Linked DNA regions of Caenorhabditis elegans. The protein of the gene in region 1 purifies or fractionates together with the protein of each later gene. This does not show direct contact. Each region holds a gene or a part of one and is shown in the gene's direction. Other genes may lie near its edges.

Evidence for each region.
Region 2: the proteins of dcr-1 (region 1) and alg-2 purify together in Caenorhabditis elegans (affinity purification with western blotting; 3 studies listed by BioGRID, with this or other methods). This does not show direct contact.
Region 3: the proteins of dcr-1 (region 1) and rde-4 purify together in Caenorhabditis elegans (affinity purification with mass spectrometry; 4 studies listed by BioGRID, with this or other methods). This does not show direct contact.
Region 4: the proteins of dcr-1 (region 1) and rrf-3 purify together in Caenorhabditis elegans (affinity purification with mass spectrometry; 3 studies listed by BioGRID). This does not show direct contact.

Annotation. Positions count from the first base shown.
Region 1 is NC_003281.10:8,077,282-8,082,176, reverse strand, and holds the start of dcr-1 (Death-promoting deoxyribonuclease), read left to right. Parts: upstream 1-1,895; 5' UTR 1,896-1,902; coding exon 1,903-1,953; intron 1,954-1,998; coding exon 1,999-2,161; intron 2,162-2,255; coding exon 2,256-2,389; intron 2,390-2,434; coding exon 2,435-2,594; intron 2,595-2,659; coding exon 2,660-2,799; intron 2,800-2,851; coding exon 2,852-3,223; intron 3,224-3,655; coding exon 3,656-3,838; intron 3,839-3,882; coding exon 3,883-4,011; intron 4,012-4,055; coding exon 4,056-4,298; intron 4,299-4,344; coding exon 4,345-4,499; intron 4,500-4,567; coding exon 4,568-4,895. Other genes in the region: apc-2 (Anaphase-promoting complex subunit 2), read right to left, coding at 1-50, 92-167, 214-331, 381-528, 574-817, 861-987, 1,033-1,165, 1,300-1,429 and 1 more. UniProt on the Caenorhabditis elegans protein: Component of the ERI/DICER complex which is involved in processing amplified double-stranded RNA (dsRNA) intermediates during small-RNA-mediated gene-silencing or RNA interference (RNAi). Involved in cleaving dsRNA in the RNAi pathway.
Region 2 is NC_003280.10:871,654-879,222, forward strand, and holds the start of alg-2 (Protein argonaute-1), read left to right. Parts: upstream 1-1,558; coding exon 1,559-1,613; intron 1,614-1,998; exon of another isoform or gene 1,999-2,127; intron 2,128-2,506; coding exon 2,507-2,609; intron 2,610-3,206; coding exon 3,207-3,380; intron 3,381-3,449; coding exon 3,450-3,790; intron 3,791-3,833; exon of another isoform or gene 3,834-4,034; intron 4,035-4,081; coding exon 4,082-5,143; intron 5,144-5,374; coding exon 5,375-6,333; intron 6,334-6,784; coding exon 6,785-6,823; 3' UTR 6,824-7,569.
Region 3 is NC_003281.10:10,216,790-10,220,432, reverse strand, and holds rde-4 (DRBM domain-containing protein), read left to right. Parts: upstream 1-1,786; 5' UTR 1,787-1,788; coding exon 1,789-2,168; intron 2,169-2,217; coding exon 2,218-2,449; intron 2,450-2,493; coding exon 2,494-2,614; intron 2,615-2,662; coding exon 2,663-3,087; 3' UTR 3,088-3,131; downstream 3,132-3,643. Other genes in the region: cox-14 (Cytochrome c oxidase assembly factor 3), read right to left, coding at 1,377-1,479.
Region 4 is NC_003280.10:8,160,642-8,168,465, forward strand, and holds the start of rrf-3 (RNA-directed RNA polymerase), read left to right. Parts: upstream 1-1,823; 5' UTR 1,824-1,916; coding exon 1,917-1,984; intron 1,985-2,039; coding exon 2,040-2,649; intron 2,650-2,695; coding exon 2,696-2,931; intron 2,932-2,978; coding exon 2,979-3,092; intron 3,093-3,142; coding exon 3,143-3,500; intron 3,501-3,545; coding exon 3,546-4,365; intron 4,366-4,412; coding exon 4,413-4,684; intron 4,685-4,729; coding exon 4,730-4,971; intron 4,972-5,013; coding exon 5,014-5,225; intron 5,226-5,271; coding exon 5,272-5,959; intron 5,960-6,007; coding exon 6,008-6,731; intron 6,732-6,775; coding exon 6,776-7,233; intron 7,234-7,278; coding exon 7,279-7,384; intron 7,385-7,435; coding exon 7,436-7,627; intron 7,628-7,673; coding exon 7,674-7,824. Other genes in the region: emb-27 (Cell division cycle protein 16 homolog), read right to left, coding at 1-253, 297-696, 743-1,247, 1,292-1,396, 1,443-1,528.

The DNA of each region.
Region 1 (4,895 bases):
AGTTCTTCCTCGTCCATCATTGCCGATCGAACAGTTTTAGACTGTAAGCTCTTGAAAAGTGTTAGAAAACGTTTTTTTAGTACACGCTTACCATATCTTTTTCCAGTTCATTTTTCTTATTAGAAGTAATGTAACTGATAATTTGTTGTACAGTGTCAGGTCGCCTTCTGAAAAAAAAATTAAATATAATTAAACAATCAGGAAATAGCTTACTTCAAATATTCTCTGATAACTCCACAAACTTTATGCATAACCACGCAACTATTGTCCATTTCACGAAGAGATTCTACGCACGCCGCATAAGCTTTCAAAATGTCTTTTGTATCAACCGCTGAAATTTTAAATATTTAAGTTTTAAATAATTCCCCTCACCAACTTACATGCAACAAGAAGTTTTGTGTTAACTTGATCTATCAAGTAATTTGTGAAATCGACTCTCCCATGATTATTAGTTCTCAAAAGGCAATATTTCATTGTGATGAGACTGCGAAATTTTACTGGAAAATCTACGGCGATCATTTCATATGCCTACAAAAAATATTTTTTAGGTTCCAAATTTTTTTAAAAACTCACGTTTTTGGAAAGCATTTGGAAGACATCTTTGTAAATAGTGTCACTAATTAAATGGAATGCGTCTTGCATTGTTACTTGATCTGACCAAATCCTCAGACTCTCCATAATTTCTTGAAACATTGAACATCTCAGCTCATTGTCAAAAGCCGCTTTCTCGTGCATCACCAATGTTGCAGCAAGCTCGCGAATATACACTGAAAGTGCTGCGTTCATGTGACGATTTGCATTGAGAATTCCAGTTTTTCTGAAAATGTTATATATAATTTAGGAAGTCAGGCTTTACCCACAATTCATTGACAAAAGGATTAAAATCTTGAACATATTGCCCGCATATTTCTTTTTTTTCTGGTGTCCACAGCTCTTGGTTTAAATCGATTCCATGATCGATTTTTCGATGAGGAAGGTACATGGCAACTGAAAAATGTTATTGGAAACTGGGGCTGAATGAAAAAAAAATACGTCTGTAATTAGTGAAGTGCGACATAAAATAAGGTCTGAGAACTTTGATAACAACTTTCTGCATGGCCAGTGGGAAGATGAGCTCTGCAGCATCGCGAATATCCGGTTGACCAACGCCTTTTTCCAATGCAAACTGAAATTATTTTCCATTAGCTTGTTACACCTCTATTTTCTGACCGTTTTCCATAAGGAGAAGATTTTTCAGAGCATTTAATTGAGAATAAGGCTAATTTGTTCTTGATTGGATTTAAAAATTTTAAAACTCACCATCAGGCATTCTTGCTGTACTCGTTGCAGAACTGTCGTCATATCATAAACTTTTTCAATATTTTTTGCGTATTTTGCGTGATATATCAGAGCATCCCAGACTTCTTTTTTCTTTGAGACGCAAAATTGTCTGAAAACTGTCTTTACGGAACTCATTTTCAAAAATTCCATACCTGTACTTCATCGCAGCCTCTTTCGAAGTAGTCATTCTGTCAAAAATGGACATTTTCGAAATGGTTAAAATAATTTCAGCAAGGATACGAGAAGAGAACGATGACAAATGTGTGAGAAACTGTATATATTAAAGGATCATGCTTAAAACGAAGGTTGGGGTCTCGGAAACTACATTTCCACAAAAACCGCGAATAAATGTTCCTTTAAAAATTATACGAAAAAATGTTTGTTTCTTTTTTTTCACACGATTTTTCAGAGTATTTTCTTTCAAATTTCTGTCGATTCCACTTTTCCTCCGTCTTTTGAATGTTCCCATGAAAGAGACATAGACATTGGTTCAGTAGAGCGCATACTACGGGGCAGTCAGCGGCAATTATTTTTTATTGTAATTTTTGAACATTATCAATTTTCCCTGTTTTCAGACCAATAATGGTCAGGGTAAGAGCTGATTTACAATGTTTTAACCCCAGGGACTACCAGGTAATTTTTAAGTAGCAAAATAAATTAAAAATAATCGATTTTCAGGTGGAACTTTTGGATAAAGCGACAAAAAAGAACACAATCGTCCAACTAGGCACTGGTTCAGGAAAAACTTTCATTGCAGTTCTACTGCTGAAAGAATATGGAGTTCAATTGTTTGCACCATTGGATCAGGGTGGAAAACGAGCGTTTTTTGTTGTAGAGAAAGGTAATTTCGTCTATTAAAAATAAGCCAGCTGGCCAGTAAAGTGAATAATTGACAAAAAAAAACAAGATTTATTCTAAAACATCATTTTTTCCAGTAAACCTCGTTGAACAACAAGCTATCCACATCGAAGTTCACACAAGTTTCAAAGTTGGTCAGGTCCACGGACAGACAAGTAGTGGTTTATGGGACAGCAAAGAACAATGTGATCAGTTCATGAAGAGGCACCATGTGAGTGAGAATACGAAGCTGAACTATCGAGCATATATATTTCAGGTTGTTGTGATCACAGCTCAATGCCTTCTTGATTTGATTCGACATGCGTACTTGAAAATTGAAGACATGTGTGTTCTGATCTTTGACGAATGTCATCATGCTCTCGGTTCTCAACATCCATACAGAAGCATCATGGTCGATTATAAGTTATTGAAAAAGGGTAAGTATTGAGGAATTAATGGTGAAACTTCGAATTCGCTTCAAAATACGGAAATATTTTTTCAGACAAACCCGTCCCACGTGTATTAGGACTCACAGCCAGTCTTATCAAAGCGAAAGTTGCGCCGGAAAAACTAATGGAACAGTTAAAAAAGTTGGAATCTGCGATGGACAGTGTTATAGAGACAGCTAGTGATTTAGTCTCGGTATGATTTAAAAAAGACAAACAAAGACTTGTTTCCAATAAAACTAATTTAGCTCTCGAAATACGGTGCGAAACCCTATGAAGTTGTGATCATCTGCAAAGACTTTGAAATTGGGTGCCTGGGTATTCCGAATTTCGACACAGTTATAGAAATATTTGATGAAACTGTAGCCTTTGTGAACACCACAACAGAATTTCATCCAGATCTAGATTTGGATCCTCGTAGACCGATTAAAGATTCTCTCAAGACGACGCGAGCTGTTTTTCGTCAACTGGGACCTTGGGCGGCATGGCGAACGGCTCAAGTTTGGGAGAAAGAGTTGGGAAAAATTATAAAATCTCAAGTGCTACCGGATAAGACGTTGCGGTTTTTGAATATGGCAAAAACATCTATGATTACGATTAAAAGATTGTTGGAACCGGAGGTGCGTACCTAACAAGAGACGTTGGAAAATGGTACCTCGAAGTATCGTTATGGTATAGCAATTTTTCGACAAAAAAGTGTTATCATTCGAAAAAGTTCGTAACTCCCTACTCACCAAGAGAGCTACAAATCTTGAGCAAGATTTCAAATTGTAAGATTGTAGCTCAATTCATGGCTTTTTGAGAATTATGGGCTGAAGCTTGAATGCTATATGTTTTTTAAAAACAATTTACGAATATTTGGAAACACTTTTTTTAAGTTGAAAGTTTTTTCAAAAGGGGTGAAACTGCTCGGACGCAGCTGAATTTTTGGAATGATCCTCAATAACACTTTTAATCTAAAATTACTATTCTATATTGAACTCCAAGTTAGCATTTTCCAACTTCCAGTGTAAGCAATCAACTATTAATTACACCAATTTTTTCCAATTTAGATGAAGAAAATCAAAAGTATTGAAGCTCTCCGTCCATATGTTCCTCAACGTGTCATACGTCTTTTCGAAATCCTAGAAACTTTCAACCCCGAATTTCAAAAAGAACGAATGAAGTTAGAAAAAGCAGAACATTTATCAGCCATTATTTTTGTCGATCAACGGTACATTGCATATTCGTTACTTGTAGGTTTATATGAATGTTACGGTAATATATTGTAAATTTTCAGCTTATGATGCGTCATATTAAATCATGGGAGCCTAAGTTCAAGTTTGTGAACCCGGATTACGTCGTTGGAGCCAGCGGACGAAATTTGGCGAGTTCGGATAGTCAAGGATTACATAAACGACAAACTGAAGTAAATTTATGTTTAAATTATCATTGTCTAAATATAATTTTTAGGTTCTTCGCCGTTTCCATCGAAATGAAATCAATTGTCTTATCGCTACATCAGTGCTTGAAGAAGGTGTAGATGTTAAACAATGTAATCTTGTGATTAAATTTGATCGACCACTTGACATGAGATCATACGTTCAGTCAAAGGGAAGAGCTCGGCGAGCTGGATCAAGATATGTTATCACTGTTGAGGAGAAAGATACTGCGGCGTGTGATAGTGATTTGAAAGATTTCCAGCAAATAGAAAAAGTAATATTGGAATCTTCAGTTCAATTGTTTAAAAAATGATATTAAGATTCTTCTTAGCCGCCATCGTACAGTCAACAATCCTATTGAAGATGATTCGGATAGATTTGAAGAATTTGATGTTGATTCTCAAATGGAACCATATGTTGTTGAAAAAACTGGTGCAACATTGAAAATGTCAACTGCTATCGCATTAATTAATAGGTATATTAATAATTTCACTTTAGAAGTTTAATCCAACAGCTAAATACAAACAATTGGTAATCTTCCAGATATTGTTCGAAGCTTCCTTCCGATATCTTCACTCGTCTTGTTCCACACAATCAAATCATTCCAATTGAAGAGAATGGAGTGACCAAATACTGTGCAGAGCTTCTTCTTCCAATTAACTCACCGATCAAACATGCAATTGTGCTCAAAAATCCAATGCCAAATAAGAAGACTGCACAGATGGCAGTTGCACTTGAAGCATGTCGACAATTACATTTAGAAGGAGAACTCGATGATAATTTACTTCCAAAAGGAAGAGAGTCGATTGCCAAATTATTAGAACATATTGATGAGGAGCCGGATGAGTATGCACCTGGAATTGCTGCTAAA
Region 2 (7,569 bases), on another chromosome or scaffold:
TAATCTGAAATTTGTTGCGTGGATTTTAATAAAATGTTTTTTTGGTACTAAAAATGTTCCTAAATTTTTCTATATTTTGCTAGTTACCGGCTCAACGAAGGTGGTATATTTTAAAATCTGAATATCTGTAAATCTACAAAAGTTAGCAAAAGATTGTCAATTAACAAAATAATCTACGCAAATTGTTCTATAAGTTGTTAATTTACAAATTTTTTGTAGCTCAACTTTGAGCATAGTTATGATAGCTCTAAGTAGGGACAGGTTACCTGATTTTTATCAATTTTAAAACTTAAATATCTCCAAAAGCATCAAAGCTAATAAAAAATGTTGGGTATCTACGTGTACCTTACCCTTAACGTGGATATGAAGATCGTGTAACGTGAACTCATTATCTATGTATACTAACTTTCTATTTATTCCTTAGTTATGTAATAATAAACTACTCGTCTTCGCCTCCTTGTTCGGCCTCGAATATATAACATTGGCGATCAGGATCTTTCGGGCTCACTGCACCACTGACTTCATGCACATGTCTACTTAGAAGAAAAGACCTCTGAGGTATTGTTTTGATCTACACATGTCTACTGGGAAGAAAAGACCTCTGAGGTGGATCAGGTCAGCTTTGGGAAGAGGCACCTGCCGTGCTCTCTGCAGTTGCAGTCAAGGTGGACAGGAGCGGCTTCTGGTTTGAAGTCGAAAAGAAGAAGGAATCATTGCTCAACTCTTTTGAAGATGCGAGTGAAGGCCACCTATGCGTTTCAAATGCTCAGTCATTGGACGATTGCACAAATTGTTATTGGTCATAACATGATCCACAACCAGGAACTGGGATACAACAGGTTGATGGTGGAACAGGCGGAATCAGTGTGGATGATTCAAGGTTGGGTCTAATATTCAGGCAGCAACGTTTTTTTAGTCTGTTGGTGAAGGGTGGATAGACATCAAAAATATTTCGATTGGTACGGGAAGTGTGGCTAACTTGGAACCCGCAATTGGAGGATGTGAACACCGAAGTACCGTGTGCAAAGGATTGGCAATATCGACGGTCACACTGGAGGGTGGTCCGTGAGAACCTCAGAAGACATTCGTGGATGGCTCCTCACCAAAGCTCTCGTTTGTCATTGAAGAGGGGAGATGTTGGGTATCTACGTGTACCTAACCCTTAACGTGGATATGAAGATCGTGTAACGTGAACTCATTATCTATGTATACTAACTTTCTATTTATTCCTTAGTTATGTAATAATAAACTACTCGTCTTCGCCTCCTTGTTCGGCCTCGAATATATAACAAAAAATTAATAACAGGCAAAATGATTTACACAACTTTCTCTATATTTTCTTAGTTGACAACTTTTTAATATCTCAACTTACCGCAGAGTTATGACGGCTCAAACTAACCTTGGCTCGCTGCCAATTTTCCCACGTTCCTCCTCCTCCTCCCCCTACCCGAACAGTCTGCCCCCAAAACTGTGTCTGCGTCTCCTTATCGCGTCCCGTCATCTAACACTCCCAACGGACCGTCTTCCCACCTGTCAATTTCCCTGTTTCTCTGCGTCTATGTTCCCTCTGCCTGTACACAATGGTCCTAGACTTGGAAAATTATCGATTTTCGGTTAGTGGTCCGAGATTACCCGCGCGCGCGCATTTTTGAGAGGCCAGCTGTGTTGGTCAATCGTTTTTCTTGCGATTAGGGGGTTTCTCTTTTCATTTTCTCAGTTTTAAAAATAGTTTTCATTTTTAATTTTGATTTTTCTCATTAAAACTTTAAAAAGCTTAAAGTTTTCTCTAATTTATTAAGTTTAACATTTAGAAAATAAGATTTTCAACCCAAATTTCCATATGAAAATCGAAATTTTATCCCCTATACAATTCAAATTCCCCACGCTCCCCAACCCTTTTCTAATTGAGTTTTGGGGTGCATCGAAAAACACGCCAGTGCACCGAAAGTGCGCCAGCTAGCCCGTTGACGGCATTCCTTCCCCCGAGGGAACACCCGCTTTCGCAATGACTTTTGAAGCCGATTTTGGAGGTCTAAACTAGTTTTTTTGAGATTTTAACTAGAAATTCGAAAAATTCAGTTTAAATTCTATATAGATCTTAGGTTTTTTGAGGAATCTAGGTAAATTTTGGATTTACCAATTGGTATAGTAAAGTTAGTGTGGTTTTTTAGATTTTTGAAGTTCTCAGCAAATTTTCCTTTAATTTTGCCAAAATTTTCTATATTTTCCACAGCGAACTTTCAATTTTAAAATACTCTGAACAAATTTACTAAATAAAATCGAAAATTTTTTGGCATTTTATCGATTTTTCTCAAGTTGCCAACTATGTAATAACCTCTATGATTTCAGAGAGATTTTTGATTTTTCCCACTTAAGTATGTCTGCACTTTAAACCAAAAATTATGGGGTTTCATGCTTAAAGTTCACATTTTTTCTGTGTCTGGGTGTGCTGCTCCGTTTTGTTCTTTTTCGTGCAGCTTCTCATTATCAAATAAAATGTTTTCAGAAATGCCCGGCGATTCGCTGACATCGTCGTCTTTCATGCCAGATGGTGGCGCAGAAACGTCGAGCTCTTCACAGTTGGGCGGCTCGGCTCACGGAGCAATTGGGTAAGGTTTTGAATTTTGTGCAAAAGTTTTGACTTAAATCTGAGTTTGGCTCGATGTGGAGCAGGAAGTCTAAGCTTCTGGGCTTGTTAGAGCTGGATTTTGGGCCCAAAAACTATATTTGGAGCCCAGAACTGGGAAACTTAAACCAGAGCCTCTAATAACTTGAATCTAGTGAAAAATCTGACACTTACAAAAAAAACTGAAGTTACTTCAGACTTGGACTTTAAATTTAGAATGTGAGCTCACATTGGCTGAGCTTCAAGTTTTTAGAATTTTGGGCTTTAGCTATAATTCTATTAAAATTTTTAGAGAATGTCCGGAAATTTCAGTCCAAGCTTAAGCTTAAGCCTAGACCTAAGCCTAAACTCACACCTAAGCCTAAGCCTAAACCTACGCCATCAAATTTAAGCCTAAGGTAAATACCACCCGACTAAACCAAAGCCAACTCTTGAGCCTAAATCAAATTCCGACCTTCAGCGTCTGTTGAAGCTTTCAATTTAGACTTAGCCTAGGCAAGCCCAGAAACTTTAGCTCCAGGCCTGATTTTTATTTAGTCTTCCTGTAAGATTCCTGAATCTCTAATTTTCCAATTTTCAGCACAAAACCCGACGCAGGCGTCCAATTCCAGTGCCCAGTCCGTCCGAACCATGGAGTCGAGGGCCGATCCATCCTCCTGCGAGCCAATCATTTTGCAGTACGGATCCCCGGAGGTTCAGTCCAACATTATCAAATTGACGTCTTTCCGGACAAGTGCCCAAGACGGGTTAATCGGTAAGTACTTTTTCTATTGATTCGGGGTTCCCTTCAAAACTTCAGCTCTGAAATTTTAATCATTTTCAGCGAGGTAATCGGCTGCCTGATCTCCTCCTTCTCAAAATATTTCACCAATATTCGACCAGTCTACGATGGAAAGCGTAACATGTACACGCGGGAGCCCCTACCAATTGGCACGGAGCCCATGAACTTTGAGGTGACGCTGCCTGGAGATTCAGCAGTGGAACGGAAGTTCTCAGTGACGATGAAGTGGATCGGTCAGGTCTGTCTGTCAGCTCTGGACGATGCCATGGAAGGTAGAGTGCGGCAGGTTCCACATGAAGCCGTTCAGTCGATCGATGTGATTCTTCGCCACTTGCCAAGTTTGAAGTACACCCCGGTTGGAAGGTCGTTTTTCACACCTCCAGGTAAGATCTCAAGTTGCTTGGTTAAGGATCTAGGACCTAGGATTTAGGATCTAGAGTATAGGATCTACGATCTAGGGTCTAGGATCTAGGATCTAGGATCTAGGATCTAGGATCTAGGATCTAGGGTCTAGGGTCTAGGATCTGGGATCTAGGATCTAGGGTGTAGGATCTAGGATCTAGGATCCAGAATCTAGAATCTAGGATCTAGGCTCTGGGATCTAGGCTCTAGGATCTAGGCTCTAGGCTCCTACGCTCCCAGACAAACTTCAATACTCCAACTATATCTTTTAGGCGTCATGAAGCCCGGCATGCAAATGCACCAGGAGAGCAAACTCGGTGGAGGCCGCGAAGTATGGTTTGGATTCCATCAATCCGTCCGACCATCCCAATGGAAGATGATGCTCAACATTGACGTCTCCGCCACGGCCTTTTACCGCGCGATGCCAGTCATCGAATTCGTCGCCGAGGTGCTCGAGCTCCCAGTCCAAGCTCTCGCCGAGCGTCGGGCCCTCTCCGATGCTCAACGCGTCAAATTCACCAAAGAGATCCGTGGACTCAAGATTGAGATCACCCATTGTGGAGCCGTGCGCCGGAAGTACAGAGTTTGCAACGTCACACGCCGCCCGGCCCAGACCCAGACCTTCCCATTGCAACTGGAGACTGGCCAAACTATTGAGTGTACTGTAGCCAAGTACTTCTTTGACAAGTACCGTATCCAGCTGAAGTACCCCCACCTTCCATGCCTCCAAGTCGGTCAGGAGCAGAAGCATACGTACCTGCCACCAGAGGTCTGCGATATTGTTCCAGGACAGCGTTGTCTGAAGAAGCTCACCGATGTGCAGACGTCCACCATGATCAAGGCCACGGCTCGTTCCGCTCCAGAGCGTGAGCGTGAGATTTGTAAGCTAGTAAGCAAGGCTGAGCTCTCCGCGGATCCATTTGCTCATGAATTCGGAATCACTATCAATCCAGCAATGACTGAAGTCAAGGGACGTGTGCTCTCGGCTCCGAAGCTTCTCTATGGAGGTCGTCATCGTGCCACAACTGCCCTTCCGAACCAGGGAGTCTGGGATATGCGCGGGAAGCAGTTCCACACTGGAATGGAAGTCCGTACCTGGGCGATTGCATGCTTTGCTCAGCAATCTCATGTCAAGGAAAATGATCTCAGGATGTTCACGACTCAATTGCAAAGGATCTCTACCGACGCTGGAATGCCAATCATCGGTACCCCTATGTTCTGCAAATATGCTTCTGGAGTGGAGCAGGTGGAGCCGATGTTCAAGTACTTGAAGCAGACCTATTCGGCGATTCAGTTGATTGTGGTGGTGCTGCCAGGAAAGACTCCGATCTATGGTAAGTTGATTAATTGTAGGTGAAAGTTCTAGGGTGTTGGTGTAAGCTTTACGCTCCTAGGTTCCAAGGATCTAGATCTTAGATCATGGAGTCCTGGGATCCTAAGCTGCTAGGCTCTTGGAATCCTAGGTTCCAAGGATCTATGGCCTAGATCATTGGGCTCTGAATCTTGGGACCAAGATCATCTATATCCTTACCTCTTCAACCCCATCTGAAGCTCTATATTTTCAGCCGAAGTGAAACGCGTCGGAGACACCGTCCTCGGAATCGCCACCCAGTGCGTCCAGGCCAAGAACGCCATCCGAACCACCCCGCAGACACTCTCCAACCTCTGTCTCAAGATGAATGTGAAGCTTGGTGGAGTCAACAGCATCCTCCTGCCAAACGTGCGTCCACGGATCTTCAACGAGCCCGTCATCTTCCTGGGTTGCGACATCACCCATCCAGCAGCCGGTGATACCCGTAAGCCATCCATCGCCGCAGTGGTAGGATCTATGGATGCTCACCCGAGTAGATATGCGGCAACAGTTCGGGTCCAGCAGCACCGTCAGGAGATCATTACGGATCTGACATATATGGTTCGAGAGTTGCTTGTCCAGTTCTACCGTAACACGAGGTTCAAGCCAGCCCGAATTGTGGTCTACAGAGATGGAGTGTCTGAGGGTCAACTCTTCAATGTGCTCCAATATGAGCTCCGCGCAATTCGTGAAGCTTGTGTGATGCTTGAGAGTGGATACCAGCCAGGAATCACATTTATCGCTGTGCAAAAGAGACATCACACAAGGCTCTTCGCCGCGGATAAAGCTGATCAAGTAGGAAAAGCATTCAACATCCCACCAGGAACAACTGTAGATGTGGGAATCACGCATCCAACGGAATTCGACTTCTTCCTCTGCTCCCACGCTGGTATCCAAGGAACATCCCGACCATCTCACTACCATGTGCTCTGGGATGACAATGATCTGACGGCCGACGAGCTTCAACAGTTGACCTACCAAATGTGTCATACCTATGTAAGATGCACGAGGTCTGTGTCGATCCCGGCGCCGGCGTACTATGCACATCTGGTGGCGTTCCGTGCTCGTTATCACTTGGTCGATAGGGATCATGGATCCGGAGAGGAAGGATCACAACCTTCGGGGACGTCGTCGGAGGATACAACATTGTCAAGCATGGCCAAGGCCGTACAGGTGAGCATTGTTTGGATTTTGAGATAGAGTGTAGGCAGAAGCATAGAGCTAGGATCTGGGCCTAGATTATTTATCTAGACTGAGATCAGGATCTGGGCTGAGGCTTGAGGCATAGGAGCCTAGGAGTCTAGAAGCGCAGTCCTTGAAGCATAGACCAAGACCCAGACCTAGACCTAGACCTATACCGAGAACTAGACCTAGACCTAGACCTAGACCTGGACCTAGACCTAGACCTAGACCTAGACCTAGACCTAGACCTAGACCTAGACCTAGACCTAAACCTAGACCTAGACCTAGACCTAGACCTAAACCTAGAACTAGACCTAAACCTTGATCTAGACCTTGATCTAGACCTAGACCTAGACCTAGACCTACACCTACACCTACACCTACACCTACACCTACACCTATACCCACGCTTTCCTAACCTACTAATTTCAACTTTTTCCAGGTTCATCCCGACTCGAACAACGTCATGTATTTTGCCTAAGTCTCCAACTACGGATTCTCTGCCATTTCACAGCCACTTGTTATCTATGCATCTCGATTTTCATTTTTCCCGTTTCCTCTGCCCCCTGAGATTTTCATGTTTTTCCTTCCCCTAATTATCAATATCAATCAATACTTTAATATCTTTCAAGCCCAGGTTTATAATATTTCCAATTATGTTAGGTGTTTAATTTTCACCAAGTTTTTTTTCCATTTTTTTCCAAATTTCTTGAGCCATTTTCCATACTAGCCACACAATGCTTTTTCGATCCTCCAAATACTTTCCATTTGTGTCTTTATCCCCCTCTGCTCTAATTAAATACGACCTTATCACTCAATTGGTACACTTTGTTGTAAACTGTCTTTCTCTTAGTATCTGAAAAAAAACCTCATGATTGTCCTGTTTTTCAACCCACCCCCACCCACAATGCCTTTTTGTGTTTCCCAATGGCAAGTCCAACAGAATAAAGTGATATTTTGGAACCCACAGGATGTCCGCTGCTATTAGGGGGCCCGTAAGATGGGCGCTGTTTCTGTACGCCAGTGAGATGTCCGCTGCTTCTAGAACACCATTAGATGTCGGCTGCTCTATTGGGCTCGGGGCATGTCCGCTGCTTTAGCAAACGCTGCTCTATTAAGCCCGTATGATGTCCGCTGCTATTAGGGAACCTGTGGGATGTCCACTGCTTCTAAAAGCCTGATTGTCTCCTACTTTGCACCAGTGATCCCGTAAGATGCCCGCTGCTT
Region 3 (3,643 bases), 2.1 Mb from region 1:
TCTCAAAATATTACTAATTTGTCTCAAAAGACTGCGAACTCGTCTCCGAAGATTGAGATTTCATCTGCAAAGATTGAGATTTCGTCTCAGAATATTGCGATTTTGTCTCAAAATATTGCGAATTTGTCTCTAAATATTAAAAATGCATTCATCGACTATTCTAGAACTGTTTTGTGATAACTCGAAGAACTTTTGTTGCCATTGAGGGGAGTTGAACTTGTCCGTCGCTTGTCGTTGAGTCTATAAACCATTATCTTACCTGTTGAGCCATCCTGTACGTGTCGCATCTAGATTTAGTTATTGCTTAAGTAAATAGTTGATGGGCGCACGTCCTTTTCGTTACCTTTGATGGGAAATCAGTGACTTTTCGCAAATTTTCTAAGTGTCAGAGCGAAATTGGATAACTTTCTTTGAAAGCGAATGTGGAAAAACGATTTATTTGTTATGCTTTTAAAAAAGTTAGATGTGCAATTTTTCCGAATTTTTGTCAAAGAGAGAAAAACATTTTATTTTTTCAATATTTTTTTTCACTAACAATTTGATTAAAATGATGAGTATACTGGGAACATGCTTGCTGTTGACAATATTTTATGATTTCAATTGAAATCAGAAAATCTCAAACGCATCACGCGTGAATGAATAGTTGTAAGTCTACTTTAATATATTCGACCAATCTTCGTGATTGTTTGACTGAATTTGTAATATGACCGGCCAATTATCTAGAAAAAATTACATGAGTGGACAGATTTGTGAATTCTATGGCTTTCTCTGCAAAAACTCCTTCTACAATATGCAACGAAAAATCAAATATCCGTTAACAGTGAGATGCTCCATTATATAGATTTTCATGTAGCTGTTTTTTACTTTGAAAAGTCTTTTATCATTTGGAAGAAAAGAGAATTTAGAACGGAACAGTAATCATAATTGTTGTATATATATCACGATCATGTGAAGCCGATGGAAATTTGGAAATGGTGTTTCGTAATCTTTATGGACTGCAAAAAGATTGCAAATTAATCTTAGAATATTACACATTTTTTTGTAATATTTTTAGATTTCAGAAAGATTGCGAACCAATCTCAAAAGATTGCTATGTCATCTCAAAATATTACGAATTTTTCGTAATATTTTCAGATTCAGAAATATTGCGAATCAACCTCAAAATATTGCGAAATATTCTCAAAAGATTGCTCAATCTAAAAAGATTTCGAATAAGTCTCGGAATATTGCGATTTTATCTTGAAATATCACCCAACTACGAAAATATTGCTATTTAATATTTTCATATTAGATTTGAGTTGCCTGAGTACTACAACTTGGAAAACATATTCGTCATGTTTCGATTAAATAAATCGTTGTCTAAATCATGTTCTTACCCTTATGAGCGATGTCAAGTCGACGATTTGTGAAGATTCTTCGGTAAAGCGGTCGACTGTCTTCTCTCCTTCGTGCCGCGAACTGAACTCGCGACCAAAACATTCACTGCAAAAATAAAAAAATAAAAAAATTAATTTCAAAGTTAAAAAAATGAACTGTAAAATAAGGAAAACACTTTAAAGATCACTTTGAAAAATATATTTTATTAAAATAAATAAATTTTATTGAAGCAATCGTTATCCGAGAGGAGTACACAGCAAATCGCACAGTTGAAACAAGTGTTACCGTACCACCGGTCTCGTTGCCTTTGATGAGAAATTACCGCAAAACTTGAAAATTGAACGTTTTTTTCTTTTCGTTTCTTTAAACGAGATCCGCTATTATTTTTGTTTCAAATTATATTATTTATAGATGGATTTAACCAAACTAACGTTTGAAAGCGTTTTCGGTGGATCAGATGTTCCTATGAAGCCTTCCCGATCGGAGGATAACAAAACGCCAAGAAACAGAACAGATTTGGAGATGTTTCTGAAGAAAACTCCCCTCATGGTACTAGAAGAGGCTGCTAAGGCTGTCTATCAAAAGACGCCAACTTGGGGCACTGTCGAACTTCCTGAAGGCTTCGAGATGACGTTGATTCTGAATGAAATTACTGTAAAAGGCCAGGCAACAAGCAAGAAAGCTGCGAGACAAAAGGCTGCTGTTGAATATTTACGCAAGGTTGTGGAGAAAGGAAAGCACGAAATCTTTTTCATTCCTGGAACAACCAAAGAAGAAGCTCTTTCGAATATGTAATGCTTTCAAGTTTATCAAATTGAATTATATTTCAATTGTTTTCAGTGATCAAATATCGGATAAGGCTGAGGAATTGAAACGATCAACTTCAGATGCTGTTCAGGATAACGATAACGATGATTCGATTCCTACAAGTGCTGAATTTCCACCTGGTATTTCGCCAACCGAGAATTGGGTCGGAAAGTTGCAGGAAAAATCTCAAAAAAGCAAGCTGCAAGCCCCAATCTATGAAGATTCCAAGAATGAGAGAACCGAGCGTTTCTTGGTTATATGCACGGTAGAACTGCTAATTAATAACTCGAAAATAATAAAAAATTTCAGATGTGCAATCAAAAAACCAGAGGAATCAGAAGTAAGAAGAAGGACGCAAAGAATCTTGCAGCATGGTTGATGTGGAAAGCGTTGGAAGACGGTATCGAATCTCTGGAATCATATGATATGGGTATGCCTCCAAATAATTGTAGTTAATATTTAATTTTACTGCTTTCAGTTGATGTGATTGAAAATTTGGAAGAAGCTGAACATTTACTCGAAATTCAGGATCAAGCATCCAAGATTAAAGACAAGCATTCCGCACTGATTGATATACTCTCGGACAAGAAAAGATTTTCAGACTACAGCATGGATTTCAACGTATTATCAGTGAGCACAATGGGAATACATCAGGTGCTATTGGAAATCTCGTTCCGGCGTCTAGTTTCTCCAGACCCCGACGATTTGGAAATGGGAGCAGAACACACCCAGACTGAAGAAATTATGAAGGCTACTGCCGAGAAGGAAAAGCTACGGAAGAAGAATATGCCAGATTCCGGGCCGCTAGTGTTTGCTGGACATGGTTCATCGGCGGAAGAGGCTAAACAGTGTGCTTGTAAATCGGCGATTATCCATTTCAACACCTATGATTTCACGGATTGAAAATATTATTGCGTATTCCTGAAAAATGAAGCGTCTGAATGATTATATCCTTTTTAAATATTTTTTTGAATAATGCCATTCAGAGTTGAAACTACTCGAAATTATATTTTTGTCGTTCTTTGTGTTTTCTCTCCCTCCATTACTTTTCCTCGTGTCAATTCTACTGTGATTGTTCTTTGTGTGCCTGCCGCGTGGTAAGATTGTGTGCGAAACGTCACAGTTTTGTGCGTTATGGTTTCTATTTCTATGAAGACAATGTGCTCTCACTCCATCAACGGGCGGCTGTGTTTTATCATTACCTCCATCACTTATAGAAACAGTAAATACCAATGATGTTCTTTGTCCGTTTTCTCCCCAACGTGGTTCCATCAATCATCAATAGAATTCTATAGAAGATGCGTAATCTCTATGCCTCTGACCTCTACAAAACTCTTTTCCACACTCATTCTCTGCAGTGCACGAGAGCGAGATTTAGAGAAGAAAAGAAAAAAGTGTGCGGCCTGCGCGCCGCCCGTCCTCATTTTTGAACGAGTGTGGGTCGCGGTCGCAAATTGTT
Region 4 (7,824 bases), on another chromosome or scaffold:
GCTTCTTCGTGACGAATCAGAGGGTCATTCGGTGCCCGAGCAACTGCTTCTCCCATGAACTTCTTGCTCAGCTTCTGACTATGCGTACTGTACTGAAGAGAAGTGTACAAGAACGGTTCAGAACTTTTATCCACAAGTTTCGACGCTCTGTAATAGCAACTCATGGACTGTTCGTGTTCAACTTCATAGTGAAGAATATGACCAAAAGCCACCCATCCTTCAGCAAACGTCGAATCCATCATCGTGCATTTACCTAAAGAAGCTCTATTTAAACCTCAATGAAATGGGAAACATACTGATGAAATTTCGAGCTCTTGAGTTTGCTCCAATACTATAATAATACATAGCAACACAATACCATGGAAGTGGAATATGAGGATCATCACTAACTAGTTGATGACCTAATTCAAGCAGAGATCGAGAATCCTTTAACATTGTTAGGCAGTGAATACGAAGAATAATGCACTCAGGATGTGGTCCAAATAGATCAAATAGCTCGTCAGTGATTTTTTTTGTTTCTCGAAATCGACCCATCTCGTAGGCACGTTGAGCACGTTCCATAAGAATTCGTGGATCATGATTTCCTTCGTGTAACTTCAGCTGTTCATTTCTGACTTTTCTGTACTTCTCCCACATCGCAGGCTCAACCAGATTGTATTTTGCCATTAATCGTTCGACATGGAGAGTTGTATTATCCTGAAATAATAAAACACGGTCAAATCATGTATAAAAGATGACTTACAAGACTCAGCGCGTAATTAATACAAATCATTGCAGCATCACGATTCATCAATTTCAAAAAACTTTCTGCTATGGTTATCATAAGAGCTGGAACCATTCTGAGCTTTTTAGAGCTATTATCCAATTCGGCCATATTTGCAAATGAGTACTTCATTCTTTCTTCCTCGACATATCTCCCCGTCACTTGTGAAAGTGTTCGAACAGGAAGAGGTCCAATTTGGCCATTACTTGGAAGAAGATGACCGACCGATAATTCAGCTACATCTTCGTATAATTTCCGTTGGAAAAGTGCGGTAGCGGCATAATAAGCAAAAACAATGTGAATCTGATGATAGTTCCCACGAGCAATAATATGGCTAATACGCCGCCATTGACGGAGAACGACGAGAATTTTTACGTATTCAGCGATGGTGACAATATCTTGCTGTTCATCATCAATTATATTAGAGTATAATGTATCCGCGTAAGCTACAGCTTCATCGGTTCTGCCGATTTCAAGCATTTCCCTAAAAATATAACATATTAATATATATGCTGGTCTCAAACTGACATCACTTTCTCCATGCTCGCCTCGTCATAATACTCCGATCCATCAATTCTACTTGCAAGTGTTTTAATCGGCTTGAAACGAATAGACTCGTGTTTCGGCAAATCTCTGAAAAATTGTAGTTTGAAAAAGAAATGTTATTTATTAAACTCACAAAGATGATGCTGGCTTGCTTGAGGAACCTTCATCAGCCAATGTCGGAATCGCAAAACTTTTTGTATCAGGCGAGATCGCGCTCATGCTGTAAAGGCTTCGTATATTTGTTTAGTAAGTAGAGAACTTAAGTTAAGCAACAAGAATTGTAAAATAGAAATTCAATAATGACGTTAATTGCAATGGAACTGTTGTGAAAAAGTGTTGAGATTATAGTCTTATTTTTAGATTATAATTTTACAGCTTACACGGAGTAGTTACAGCTACTTTAACTAAATAACATAAAGGCGCGCCTAGGCGCTTAAAAACAAAATAAAAAGGATTTAATGCTTGATCAAATTTAAATTTTAGCCGTAACTGCGGAGTCTCGTTGCTAATTGTCAATGGAGCGAACATACATCATCAAATTTTTGAATAAAATTGTTTCTCATTTTTTTCGTAAAATAAATGCCATTTTCAAAAAGTCTTTCACAAAATGCTCCCGTTTGATAATGATGACTCTAGCGATGATGCTACAACTTCTGTTAGGCCGAAGCATCCAAGGTAATTGAAATTCGGTGAGCAAACGGTAGTCAAATGAAACAATGTTTTTTTCCAGAGGAGTTCCTCAGAGTCAATCAACATTTCCACGTGGTAGATCGAATTTTTCGTCTGGAACTTTACCAAATCGAAAAACAGAATGCACTCCAGTGAACACCTTAACAATTGGGCATTCAAACAAGATGCTATTGACAACGTTTCGGATGGATCGAAATTCAAAATCTAAATCGGAAGTTGACGTACAAGAACAGCCTGTTCACTCTTCATCGTCGGCTTTTCCAGGAAATCATTTAAACAATTTTTCGTATCCAGTGAATCGTGGATATCTTCGTGATTACCTGCTACAGTCACAAAGGCCTTCTACTTCAAAACCAGTCGACTGTTCTGTTCTAAAACGGCACTCTCTCCCATCAACTCACATTCTTTATGAGAAAACGAAGCACAGAGGTGGTGTAAATATCGAAGAACAAGAAAAACTCGTGCGGATGTTATGGGCCGCTGCAGAAGAATCGGAAACAGTTGCGAAGACGAGACAGTTTAGTAAAAAACAGGCGATTGAGCTGAATTTCGATGCTAAGCTCATTGGCAGCATGAATAATGATTGCTTTGGATATTGCCGAGCACACATGGAAAATATAAAAGATGTTTTGAAAACACACTTGAAATTGGTAAGCGATTTTTTAATTGGCCGTATTTGAAACAATTTAATTTCAGTCTAAAGTTGACGAGGTAAACTGGATCAAGGTGGGGATGGTGCCACGAGCTGCGTACGAAGATAAATCATACGTCATCGATGCTCATTTAGTTTTGACGCCAAACGGTGAAGTAGAAGATGAAAATGAATTGTTCTCCGAGTTCGCATCAAGTTTCACATCTAGAATAACTGGAATGCTCCATGATCAAGTATTTTTGGAAGTCCCGAAAATGCATACGCTTTTCACAAAAATAACGTAATAGAATACTCATCCGCTTTTTATATACTCAAGTTATAATTTAGACCCCAACACATGGATATAAATATTTCTGCGATTGCGATTGGAAACTGCCCTAATTCAGGACTTTTCCTTGTTAGAGGAGATTTCATCAGTCAAGAAAACACAGTTTGTAGTGTGTAAGTTGCACATATTCTACAGAATTTCTAATCAGATTTTTGTTTTTAAGAAAGCTTCAGTCACACCATAATGCAGATGCATCCCGTGAAAACAGTTCATTCAAAGTGGCAGGAAGCAATAAATACCTCTCGTATGCGAGATTTGAGCATGACAAAAGACTGGCAGTGGTATATTTCGGAGTTCGATTAGCCGAATTCGCTGATGATGGTTTGGATCATGCCGGATTTCGTCTTAATCTATATTATAATTTGTTTGTTCGAATTGTTGTCGACATGTCTCATGAAACTACGAACAGTATTTATATACAAATGAAAAATCCACCGCATCTCTGGGAAGGAATTCCGAAAAATACGATTTTTCACCCATCAAAGTCGAAGGTTCTCAATATGGAAACGTGCACAGAATGGGTGATATGGTATGCAAATAACTTTTAAAAACTTGTAAATTTTCAGACAAGAGTATTGAGTTGGCCTGGCGATGCTGAGGGCCGAGGTGTCGGTTGTACTTCTGAAGCTTTCTCGCAAAGCTCCTGGATCCGGTTGACAATGAGAAAAGATGATGATAACGATTCGGTATCGTCTACACAATTGATGGATATTGTTACTAGACTTTCTGCTCGAAGCAAAGCAAAAGTGATGTTCGGCTCCATTTTTTCAATTCGCCGAAAACTTGCACCATCCCCGGCTTTCCATTCTCTGGGATCTTTCCGAGCGAATTATGCTCTCCAGGCTCTAATCACACGCGGAAGTGTATTTACGGACCAACTTTTCGACGCAACTGATGAAAATATTCCAAGTTCAGACAATGACAATGATGAAGATGATGACGATGATGTTGATGACACGAAAAAGCCAATGGAATTAGTACACGAGCCGCTCTTTCTGAAATTAGTTCGTAGGGGAATGAAAGAATGCTCTCAAGCCACAGAAGAGACTCTCGAACAACTTTTGAATGCATTTGATGAACGTCGTCAAATCGATGTAGTTACCGCGTTCACAACAATGTATCAATCAAGAAAGATTCAATACGAAAGACTTCTGAAAGGAGAAAGCCTTCAAGATGTAGGCCTTGCAAAGCCATTGCCGAAGAATTGTGTTTCAGTGGCTAAAGTTATTGTAACACCATCTCGAATACTGCTAATGGCTCCAGAAGTAATGATGGTAAATCGAGTTGTTAGAAGATTTGGACCTGATTATGCTCTTCGTTGTGTGTTCCGAGATGACAATCTGGGCCGGCTCGCTATTCGCGACTTTTCCATCAATAATATAGATCGTAAGAAATTCTTTAAATATTTTTAAATATATTATCTAAGTTTCCAGACATGTCGAATATTGTCACCGAAGGAATTTATTTGACTCTCAAAAATGGAATTCAAGTTGCTGATCGTGTCTACAGTTTTCTAGGATGGAGTAATTCTCAAATGCGTGATCAAGGATGTTATTTATACGCTCCTCGAGTCAATGCATTAACTGGTGAAGTCACAGGAACTGTAGAAGATATTAGAGTATGGATGGGAGATTTCCGAGATGCGATTAGTGTTCCAAAGATGATGAGTCGAATGGGACAATGCTTTACACAAGCACAACCAACGGTATATTCTAGTGTTAAAAATATTCATATAGTCGAAAATATTCAGGTACGTCTTGAACGACATCACTGGATCGTTGAACCTGACATTGAAGGTGGTGTAGAGAACAAATATTGTTTTTCTGATGGTTGTGGTCGAATTTCTATCAAACTGGCAACACATATATCTAAGATTCTCCAATTGAAGGAAGTACCAGCTTGTTTCCAAGTGCGATTTAAAGGTTTCAAAGGAATTCTAGTTATTGATCCAACAATCGATGATATTATAAATATGCCTAAAGTTATCTTCAGGTAGTGATGATCTATCAAACAAATTATATGATCAATTTTCAGAAAAAGTCAGCAAAAGTTTGGTGAAGGTGGTGGAGAGCTGCAAGATGAATACCTCGAAGTAGTAAAATACGCTATGCCATCTCCAGTTTGTCTCAACCGTCCATTCATTACAATCCTGGATCAAGTGTCGGAAAAACAATCTGCAAGCTCTCACAGAAGGATCACAAATCGTGTTCATTATTACTTGGAAAGAGAACTATGTTCTCTGAGTAGTATGTAGTTACTGTATGGTTACAAATCATAATCTCCTAATTTTAGATATGCTCATAAATGAAAATCAAGCAGCAGAAGAGCTAGTCAATCGCACAAACTTGGCAATCGACTGGAACGCAGCAAGCAAACGAGCCGGGTTCGAATTGAGTGTAGATCCATTGATACGAGATATGCTATTCTCTATTTATCGCTACAACATCATCCATCACATTTCTAAAGCTAAAATTTTCTTGCCTCCAAGTTTGGGAAGATCAATGTACGGTGTTGTCGATGAGACTGGACTTTTACAGTACGGACAGGTTTTCATCCAGTATTCACCAAGTATCCGACAAACCAGTAACCGTCCAATATTGAAAACAGGCAAAGTTTTGATTACCAAAAATCCGTGTCACGTTCCTGGAGATGTTCGAGTTTTCGACGCAGTTTGGCAACCAGCATTAGCTCATTTAGTCGATGTTGTAGTATTTCCACAACATGGCCCACGACCACATCCCGATGAAATGGCAGGTTCAGATTTGGATGGAGATGAGTATTCTATAATATGGGATCAAGAAATGCTACTCGATTATAATGAAGAAGCAATGGTTTTTCCGAGTAGTTCAGCTGCAGAAGAAGACAAAGAACCTACTACAGATGATATGGTTGAATTCTTCCTTCGATACCTTCAACAGGATTCAATTGGAAGAATGAGTCACGCTCATTTGGCTTATGCTGATCTTCACGGACTTTTCCAGTATGTTCCTTGAAATTATCCATGTTAAGCCAATATCTTATTTTTCAGCGAAAATTGTCACGCCATCGCGCTCAAATGTGCAGTAGCTGTAGATTTTCCGAAAAGTGGAGTTCCCGCGGAACCATTGTCAAGTTTCGAGCAATGCGAAATGACACCTGATTATATGATGTCAGGTGGAAAACCGATGTACTACAGTACCCGATTAAATGGACAATTGCACCGAAAAGCTCGAAAAGTTGAAGAAGTTTTGGAAGAATTTGAAACACGCGGGAGTGTATTCGAAAGAGAATATGATAAACTGATTTGTCCAGAAGACGTTGATGTTTTCTTCGGAAATGAAATAAAACTTGTACAAACATTGACTCTTCGCGATGAATACGTTGATCGAATGCAACAACTTTTGGATGAATATGGAATTGAAGACGAAGCTTCAGTTGTGTCTGGACATGCTGCAAGTATCAAGAGATTAGCTGGAATGGAGAGAGACGACTATTCATTTTATCACACTGATAAGGTCGTTGAGCTTCGTTATGAAAAATTGTATGCTGTATTTCGTGCAAAATTCTTTGAAGAGTTTGGTGGAGAAGAAATCAACATTGAGAATGATGGAAAGAACACTCGGTTGAAATGTACGAAGGCAATGCATGAAAAGATTCGGCAATGGTATTTCGTGGCATATGTGCAGCCAAAGATAAATAAGGCTGGAAGATGCATTGGACAGAGTCTTCCCTGGGTTGCTTGGGATGCATTGTGTGATTTGAGGCGACAATTAGTAAGTTAAAATTATGAAATAAATATATTAATTTTTTGTTGCAGATGCTCGATAAAAATGACGCAGTTTTACGAGGCAAATATCCAATTGCTGCTCGTTTAGAAGAGGAGATCGAAAACTCCATTGAAAGGCAGTTTGACAAGTTTCTCAAATTGAAAGATTTGATTGAATCTCACAAAGATGCGCTTTTCCTGAGACGATACGTATATTTTTATGGAGATCAGATTATAAAAATGTTGTTCATCCTGAAAGTTTGGCTTGAACGAGAAAATGTGCTCCCATCAAGTGTTTTGTCGATTTGGCAGCTGGGAAGACTTTTGATTCGTCTAGGGCTCGGAGATCTCCTGGGAAATCCCACTATTGATTATGAAAAAAGTCTTCTGATGCCAACAACAATGTTTCAGCAATGGATTTCGAAGAAAGAAGATGCAGATGAAGCTCCGATATTGAGAAATTTCGATATGGGAACAATGATGCTCGAATTTCTCAGATATTTGGCAAGGTAAATTTAAAAATCTAGTGTTGGAAAAATTTTTCAATATTTCAGTCAATCTTTCGCATCAGCTGAAAGCATAAGTCTTCGAGTTTTCTACGAAAAAGATATTGTTGAGCCAATACTTACTAAAAGTGCACAATGGATGCCTTTACATCTTGTAAGCTCGATCTTTAATATTCCAGATCTATCAACAAAAAACATATTCCAGATTGCATATCGTACATTTCATTCCATCGCTGTGTCTGGACGGTTTGATGCGCTTCATTTGGACGATGAGGATGCGGTGGATCAGATTACAGAAAGCAAGGATCCAATACTAGTTAACGAGTCATTGTTCTCTTCGAGAAACTACAACGATGATTATCCGATCAGTAGGAGTAGAATATTGCAATCTTTGAAGGTAAGTGGTTCGAAAATACTTTTCGTTTCTAGTGAAAAACTTTCAGGATTGGTCTGGTGTCAAAGAAATAATTCCTCGCGAAATCACTGGAACTCGGAAGTCTGATATGATCTATGTTACATCAGTTGGAACGGTTCTTGCACGACAACGCCTCGCTCGACTTTTACTTCTCAGTGGAGAGACAATTAGGGACGCGA